Coturnix japonica: one gene and its partner. The main gene of each other region encodes a partner of the protein of the gene in region 2 in a complex. Links are inferred from orthologs where the notes say so. Each region holds a gene or a part of one and is shown on either strand. Other genes may lie near its edges.

Evidence for each region.
Region 1: MKS1 (region 2) and TMEM216 share a complex: the UniProt entries of both Homo sapiens proteins name them as parts of the tectonic-like complex. The link is inferred for Coturnix japonica from reciprocal best matches to the Homo sapiens genes MKS1 and TMEM216.

The regions. Positions count from the first base shown.
Region 1 is NC_029520.1:292,358-296,557, reverse strand, and holds TMEM216 (transmembrane protein 216), read right to left. Parts: upstream 2,482-4,200; 5' UTR 2,369-2,481; coding exon 2,356-2,368; intron 2,250-2,355; coding exon 2,148-2,249; intron 2,083-2,147; coding exon 1,990-2,082; intron 1,902-1,989; coding exon 1,700-1,901; intron 851-1,699; coding exon 835-850; 3' UTR 564-834; downstream 1-563. Other genes in the region: TMEM138 (transmembrane protein 138), read right to left, coding at 2,789-2,901, 2,992-3,067, 3,788-3,959, 4,038-4,165. UniProt on the Homo sapiens protein: Part of the tectonic-like complex which is required for tissue-specific ciliogenesis and may regulate ciliary membrane composition.
Region 2 is NC_029534.1:119,348-123,776, forward strand, and holds the start of MKS1 (Meckel syndrome type 1 protein), read right to left. Parts: upstream 2,915-4,429; 5' UTR 1,852-2,914; coding exon 1,772-1,851; intron 1,694-1,771; coding exon 1,516-1,693; intron 1,310-1,515; coding exon 1,154-1,309; intron 797-1,153; coding exon 699-796; intron 499-698; coding exon 370-498; intron 97-369; coding exon 1-96. Other genes in the region: BCL7B (B-cell CLL/lymphoma 7 protein family member B), read right to left, coding at 4,068-4,160. UniProt on the Homo sapiens protein: Component of the tectonic-like complex, a complex localized at the transition zone of primary cilia and acting as a barrier that prevents diffusion of transmembrane proteins between the cilia and plasma membranes.

The DNA of each region.
Region 1 (4,200 bases), on a different chromosome or scaffold from region 2:
CCAGGGATGCCAGCTGGGTGGCATTACCTTCAGAACTGTTGCTGGACAGGAGAAAAACCCAGCTCCACAGGTCTTTGTTAGGCTACAATCACACAATGAATTCCATCAAGTACCATCAGGTGAGCACTGGGGGGAAGCATTTGGTGGGTGAGTTCTGTTTTTGTTGGCTTTTTTTTTTACGTAACAACACAAATTTATAGTTTCTTTCCAATTAGTGTGGGGGGGAAAAGTGCAGAGAGGAACCTCTATTAAGCACCCGGCGAGGCGCTGCCCCCCTCTGCCCGCAGTGACTTAGGTTTGTTTGTCTTTCTGATAGGTTGGAAGTTGTGTAATAAACTTGATGACGTTGTCAGTCTTTTATATGGAGCTTTTCAAGAGATTCTGGTGGGGATGTTCAGGGGATGAAGGTGTGGATGGGCAGCAAGAGCCAAGCACTTCTGTAACGCCCCCCCACCCCCAATCTTCCAGCTCTTCCTAAGGGCTGCTGTGCCTCCCATGCTGGCTCAGGGGCTGGCTGTGGTAATGAGGTGCTCTGGCCTGGGGGGATGCCACGTGCCCAGGCACCAGATAAAAATAACTATTTATTGGAAAATAGTGATTTCTTCTTACAACGCTGTAAAAAAAACAAATTGTCTGTACCTTGGACTGACCTGTGTGTCACAAACCTCGGGGCTGGGTGGCAGCAGGGTGGGTGCTACCCAGGCACAGCCCTGGCACTGCCCACAGGTGCCAGTGTGGGTCTGGCTCACCACCACAGGCTGGAGATGGAGCCTGTGCCACCTGCTTGCTGCCATCTCGTGTACCTGCGCTGCTGTGGTCCTCTGGTGCAGGGCCTCAGTATGCATCCATGCTGCAAAGAACAGAGGAGAGGATGTGTGAGGAGAGGCTCAACCAGCAGAAGGCTGTGCTGCTTCTCAGTGAGACCTGGGCAGGCTGAGATTTGGGTGGGGGATGAACTTGATGAGGTTCAACAAGGCGCAGCGTCCTACACCTGGGGAGGAGTAACTGCATACATCAGTGCAGGTTAAGGGCTGAGCTGACAGAAAGGGGATCTGCAGAGGATTTGGGTGTCCTGGTGGATTATGGGTTGGCCATGAACCAGCCTTTGTGGCCAAGAATGCCAACAGGTGTCCTGGTTGACCAATGGTTGTCCATATGCTAGCAGTGTTCTTACAGCCAAGAAGCCCAACAGGACCATGGGGTGCATTGTGCAGAGTGTGGCCAGCAGGGCAACAGAGGTTCTCCTTATTCTCTGCTCTGCCACATCTGGAGCGCTGGGACCAGTTCTGGTTTCCTTGGCTCTGGGTAAATAGGAACCTGCTGGAGTGCTGCAGAGATGGTTGAAGCTTGGAGCACTTCCCTTACAAGGAAAGGCTGACAGCTCTGAGCCTGTTCTGCCTGGAGAAGACAAGGCTGAGAGGGGATCTGATCTGAAGTGTAGGGGTCAAGAGGGTGGGGGCACGCTCTTTTTAGAGGTGCCTGGTGGTAGTAACAAGAAGGGGCAGTAGGGAACCAACAATAGGAAACACAAGGAAAAACTTCTTGACTTTGAGGGTAATAGAGCACTGGAAGGAGCTTGCCCAGAGAGGTGGTGGGGCCACCCGGGTGCTCTCCTTTGTAATGCCCTCTAGCAAACCTTCTTTAGCAGGGGGTTGGACAGGAGAACCCCCAGAGCTCCCTCTGCTCCCACGCCACCTACCTAGAGAAGGAGGCGAGCGCCAGGCCGCCCAGCAGCAGCTCCATAGAGTAGAAGAGCAGGAGGATGGCACTGAGGATGGCCTCCAGGCGCAGGGCATAGGTCTGCAGCAGCAGGCAGTAGATCGCCATGATGGCTGCTGGCACAGTCAGGGCCAGGCAGACGGCCAGAGGCCCCTTGCGCTGGCACAGGTTGCCCTTGGAACCTGCGGGGCACAGGGTGAGCAGTGCAAGGCTGCACCACACAGTGTGACACCGGGAAACGGGGTGCGGGATAGAGGGACAAGGCCTCACCAAAGAAGATGCGCGTGGCCTCAATGCTGAGGTAGAGCAGCAGCAGCAGCACGTCCAGCAGCAGGTTGGTGAGCGGGTACGGCAGCAGCAGCACTGCGGGCACGGCCACGCTCAGCGCTGGGGGCGGGGGGCGGAGGAGCGGGAGGGCGGGGGCTCACCCTTGTAGGCGAAGATGAAGGCCTCCAGAACGAAGTAGGTCGCGCTGTACCAGCCGTTGAGGAAGAGCAGGACCTGCAGCGGAGCCGAGGAGCGCTGGCGGCCTGTGGGGGTCGCGGGATGGGATGGGATGGGATGGGCGAGGCCCCGCCGCCCGCCTCACGTTCCGCCCCCGGCCCCGCCGCCCCCCGCTCCCGGCCCCGCACTCACTCCGCGCCGCCATCTTCCATCTCCATGGGAACCGCGGCTGCAGGAGGGAAAGCGCTCGGCCGCTCTATCCCGCCCTCTCTATGGCCCTGGAGGACCGAGCCGCGGGTTCGAATCCCCCATTCCGCCCCTCGCTGTGCCTGCGGACCCCCGGGGGGGGCAACCCAATGGGAACAGCCCTGAGTAGTGGGACACCGAGAAGCTGCGTGATAAAAGAGGAGAGAGCCAGCACACACGGACTGGAAAATACAGACAATTTATTTCCTCACTACTCACAAAAACGCCCCAATCCCACCAGGGGCTGTGAGCTGTGAGCACCCTGCCAGCTCCCAGGGCACCACCAGGAAGAGGAGGAACACAGCTGGGCTGGAGCTGGGGGGGCTGAGACCTTCCATCCCCTGGCTATGAGGAGCTGCCCCTCCTGCAGTGGGGGCCATCAACCACGGAAGTGAGCAAACTCCTTGCGTAGCCAGAGCGAGTCCTGGTAGAAGAGCGGGTCACCCAGGTGCACTGCAGTCCTCTTGTAGAAGTAGCAGTAGAGCACGGCCGCTGCAGGAGGGAGGGAGATGAGGGCACAGGGACTAAGCTGGGGTGTCCCCCAGGCAGGTTCCTGCTGCCTCAGTAAGCACGAGCCCTTACCCAGCCGCTGGAAAACAAACAGTGTCTGCAGGCCTTCGGTCCAGATGAAGCGGCTGGAATCCCTCCAGCGCAGGTTCTGACACAGACGGAAACAAGGAAGAACCCATGGGCTTCACTGAACCCATGGGATCACTGATGATCCCGATGGGACGGAGCTGGCCCCACAAGGGCTGTCGTGCTCTTGGTGGCAGCTCCAAAGATTAAGCAGCTCAGGGGATTTGGCCAGCGAGTCAGGACCTATTCTAGCTTCAGACTTTAGATCCCTGCAAATCCCCATCAATCTCCTGCCCAGACGCTGTGGGTACAACATCCCTGGGTCAGCTTCAGTCACAGACCTGGCCCAGGGGCAGCAGGATGGGCCTTTCTCCTGTTGAAAAGCATACAGGAAGCACCTGCTGGCTGCTTTGCTTGTCAAATGGTGACTGTGGCACAGGATGGGGGGAGCTGAGATGGGGAAGAGGGGGTACAAAGCTGCTTGGACACAGCAGGGACCCTTGGGACTTGTTTTTCAGCAGGGTTTCAGCACTCCAGCCTCTGAGCGCTGGTGATTGCTGGGGATTAATCCCAGGTAAACAAAGCAGGATCTGCTGTCATGGCCTTCACTGGGGACCACTCTGCTGTGGTGGGTTTCTGTGCAAGGTTTTCTGTGTGGGTTTTCAAGCAGGTTGCAGTGCTGAGGCTGGGGGCTGGGATGAGGCAGCCCGATAGCTACAAGTAGGAGATTATGGCCTTCCTCCCACAGCACAGAGGGACAGAAGGGAGAAAGGAGCTGCGAAGCCAGCAGCCTCAAACCTACCATGATCCAGATGTGGAAGGAGATGCTGAGTGCCAGGTACGCTGCCGACAGAAGGATGGTGCCCTTGAACTTGTGGAAGAGGAGGTTGACCAGTCCAGCTTGGAAGACAAAGGTATTGAAGAACATGAGGAAAATGATGATGACATTGAAGAGAATGGCAATGTCCTGGATGCTGTGGGAGAAGAGAGACGCAGTGAGAGAGAGGAGAGAGCGGTATGGGAGAGCCCAGCCCTCCTGCCCTGCTGCTCACATGAAGAGGACAAGCTGGACAGCGGGGGCCGTGCGAAGCAGCTCCGAGAAGGAATTGACAAACAGGTCATAGAAGAGCAGCAGAAACTGCAGGAACAGCACCAAGCTGTAGTTGCTGGTCTGGAGCATCTTCCTTCGGCGGAGGCTCGAGCCTTCAGCCCCAG
Region 2 (4,429 bases):
CCTTTGGTGCCAGTAAAGTCAGGCTTCACTGTGATCACCCCATTGCCATCCACCTTGACTGTACAAAGAACGTGTTCGTATTCCTTCTGTCCGAGCCTAATGGAAGACATCAAGAAACACAAAGCGAGTCTCAATAGAGCACACACTTGTTCTGGAACAGGGGGTACAGAAAGGCACAGATACACCCATACAGCCCTACATTGGTTTAAAAAACCTTTTGGAGGGACACACTCAGTACCTCCCAAAGAAGCAGAAAGAGCAGCTGGAGTTACACTTGGAATTCCCTCAGTTGAAGAGAGAAGCGGCAGATTTGAGAAAGGAGATGGGTTTGCTTCTGGGAAATCAGGATCGCTTCAGGATTTTACTTACTTCCCATAAGGTCCCAAGTCCGCCATGATGTACATCGTCTGAACAGGAGTGTTAATCACGTGATTGTTCTTTATGAACTCTTCCGAGGGCTCCCAGGTGATGATTTTTGACTTGAGAGAACTCCCATCTCTGCCAGTCACAGAACAGCACAACTCACGGTCAGCAGAACTCGCACCAGCAGCCGGGCACAGACCCACCAAACAAGAGTCAAACTGCCAGACCTGAGTCCAGCACAGCTCAAGCCAACAGCTCCCACAGAACAGGCTGCCCTGCAGCACGGACACCACGACACCCACATCAGCCAGTTCTGAGCCTCAGTCTGAACTCACAGCGGTTTACGGTCCTGTCTTCTCCTCCTCACATTGGCCATCCTCTCCGCCAGGTACGAGGGCACCTCACAGTCTGAGTCAGTCACCTTCTGGCCGTGCTGGAACAGAGACACAGAACAGAACTCGCTTCATGACAACAGGACTTTTCTCTCAAATGCAATTCTGCCCCTGGAAGCCAGAATAAGTATTTGTACATGCAAGTATAAGGGATATTTATTCACAGCCATGTGCCAGCTGTGAACTTCACTAACAACACAACCCTGCCGAGCCAAGTGCCTCCATCCCAGCTGCTCCTGCCCGTCGCTCTGCAGTACGGAGCCGTCGTTCTGTAGCACACAGTGCAGAGCAGCGCCGGGCACGCTGCACCACGGCCACAAAACAACGAACGTGCCCCGTGCTGGTCCCGGTGCTGCCGACAGACGGACGCTGCTCTGTGCAGAACCACGGGCCGGTACCTCCTCCATGTTGGTGAACCGGTCGTGATCGGTGTAGGTGAAGATGCGGCGGTTCTTGCGCCCTCCGGCTCTGTCCAGCTTCAGGATCTCCTCGTGGTACTGCCGGTCCAGCGGAGTCTGGCAGGCTGACTCGTGTCGGTACAGATCCACCTCGAACTGAACGTCACGGGCACAGTTAAAAGCCGCGTTGATTCACCACGGCCGGGCCACAGAAGTTCCCGGCCCGGTGAGCGGCGGGGACACGGACACGGAACGGACACGGACCCGGACACGGACATGGACACGGACCCGGACACGGACACGGACACGGACACGGACACGGACACGGAACGGACACGGCGCTGCCCGGCGGCGGTTCGCACCTGGCTGAAGAGCTTCTGCTGCCATCCCAGCTCGGCGCTCTCCTCCTCGGCCGGGGGTCGCCCCGCAGCCCCGTGCCCGGTTCGGGCGCTCAGCCCCAGCCCCTCGGGGCCGCCGCTCGGGGACAGCGCGGCCTGCGGCGGGACGGGCCCGGCGGCCGATACCCGCTGGATGTGGACCCTGCGGGGAAGGACGGAGACATCGTGAGAGCGAGCGCGGACGGAGCCGCAGCCGGGGCCGTGCGTGCCGGGCGCTCACCGCAGCCGCAGGTTGCGCACCGGGTCCCGGGAGCGGTACACGCCGCCGCCCGCCTCCGCGCTCCACAGCGGCGCCGCCATCCCGTCACCAGGGACGCGGGGCGGCGGCAGCGCCCCCTGGCGGCAGCGGGGAGCAGAGCGCGGCCGGGAGCGGAGCCGGGTAACGAGCGGAGCGGAACCGAGTGCGGTACCGGACGGGGGCGATGGGCGGCGGGAAAGGAGAGGGGAGCAGCGGCAGCAGAACGTCTTAACGCAGCCGCCTTAACGAAGCCGAGCAGCGATGTTCTGAACGGGAAAAGAGACGTTATCTCAAGTCCGACCAGTTCAGCCGTGGTGCTCTGAGCTGCTCTGCACGGTCACACACTCTTCAGAAGTTCCCACACGTTTCAATGATGTGCCCGCCTGGCAATGCATGGCCGCATCCAGCCAAACCTCAGCGACCCCCACAGCTTCGTGTTCCTGCGCTGTGACCCCTCAGAGCCGCCCTGAGCCCCCTCCACGTTGTGGGCCCTCGGTTCAGCTCTGCCCGGATACACACAACAACCACGTGCTGAGCGGCCCCGGACTGGGGCAGAACACACAGCAAGTGCTGCTGTGAAACACACGTGACGGTCGCACAGAGGGAGCTGCACCTTTGGCTTAGATTTATACGCTCCATTTAATAAACCGGAAAATAAGAATCATTTTTTGCAATGCACAGAGATGAATCAAAGGCTGCCACAAAGATACCTGTGGGCACGTGGTGTTAATTAACCTCGGTGTGGGCTCTCTCCCATAAGGAAAGGCTGAGGTGGAAACCCAGGGCCCGTGCAGTGCAGTCAGGGTGCCCAGGGCAGCTCCCCCTGCGGCTCTTTGTGTCTGCCCTGAGCTGTGCCCCGACATGGGCTGCACACAGGGCCGCTCCCCCGGCATCGCAGCGGGACTTGTGGCTTTAACACACACCAGACGTTCTGCTACAGGACTGTGGCTGTGTGTGACCACCAGATCCAGGGGCAGCTCACAGGGATGCAGCCCAGAGGAGCCCAGCTGTCCATGGCGGGGCCCTGCAGCCTCCAGCCCAACCAGCCACCAGGGAACAGACCCCGTGCAAAGCAAAGTCCCGGTGCCCGGCCCACACCGTGCTGAGCACCGGGCCCGAGAGCTGGCACCGAGCTCAGGCCTGGAGCAGGAAACTCCAGCCCGGCTCAGCCCGGTGCTGCCCAGCGCCTGCTCTGAGCTCCTGCCCCAGCTGCTGTAGCCCACGCACCTGCAGTCACTGAGCACTGTATTTCAAATAGTTTAATTTTAAAAATATTCTATTCAGTGCTAAAATATCTTTCCACTTCCACGCGCAGCCGCACCTTCAGCTTCGCCAGGCTCGATCACAGACGGCAGGACATGCAGTGGCGGTGGGGGGGGGCCCAGCGGGGTGGGGAGCGTGGGAATGGGGGCATGGGAGGGCTCCATGGGGCTCCTGCACCCTGTGTCCTGTCCAGGGGACGGGATGTACCTGGGGAGCGGGGCGGGCAGGAGGAGCAGGGTGCAGGTCCAGCTGGGACACGGCAGTGCCGGCTGCCCCGCTCCATCCCAGCCCCTGCCTGTCTGGGGCGGACAGAGGCTTCTGTGAGGGCCTGGAGGCAGAGGAGCAGCAGGCAGGGCCGATGTGTCCAGTACCTGCCCTCCGAAATGGCAGCACTCCTCCCTCTTCCAATACTAATGGCTTAGTAGCAGCTTATTGCACAGTGTCCCAGCGGCACGGAGGGCCGTTGTTTCCATTCTCAGGGCGCTCCCCCCCCTCCCTCCTCTGCCCTTTGGACCTACACCAGGAACGCCCCAGACTGTGGTCACAAGGGAGCGGACACATCACTTTCTGCAGGTGGGACATGGCTCTTCTGTTCCCAGCACAGGGGACAGGGCAGACAGTGGATCCAGAAGCAGGCAAACAGCATCTGCCGGTGCGTTAGGGGTGACAGAGAACAGGGCATCCCAAGGATCCCTCCCCCCACGCATGCAGACCACGCACCAGAAACCCCATGCCACTACAGCACAGATCAGCAGGGAGGGTGGGAGCCAATAAATAGAGGCAAATTTGCAGGTACTGGTGGCAGCCCCATTCAGCTGGGCAAATCACTTGCAGGCTGCCTCTGCAGGGGCTGGTGGGAGGCTCCTGCCCCCGAGGGCAGGGCAGGCTGGATGGCGAGGCAGCAGGGGTGCCCTGTCCCTCGGGAAGGGCAGGACAAGGGAAGCACCCCATTCCCCAGGGAAGGGCAGGCAGCTCTGCGAGGGTCTGGCGAAGGCTCTCCCCGGGGATGGGCAGGCTAGCTCTCCGAGGCTGTGTGGCACACAGAGTTCTGATCAGCACAAAATCTCTTCAGAGGCGGTGCGCCAGAGTCCTCCTCCTCTTCAGTTACCTGCAAGAGCCAGAGGTCACCAGCAGTGACAAGAGCTCAGCGTGCCCACAAGGCCGTGTGGAGCTGCTGGACAAGGCTGTGTCTCGCCCTGTGGGGACACCCTGGGCTCTCCTCTGTGAGTCAGGCTGCTAAATGAAACCTGGGCACCAAGAGAGGGAATCCAGCCCAGCTCTGGACTCAGCTATAACCAGTTTCTTAATCCATCTCCATGTATTTTCTACACACAATATATACCCTAAAACCAAACTGAACCACAGTACCACTCAGGA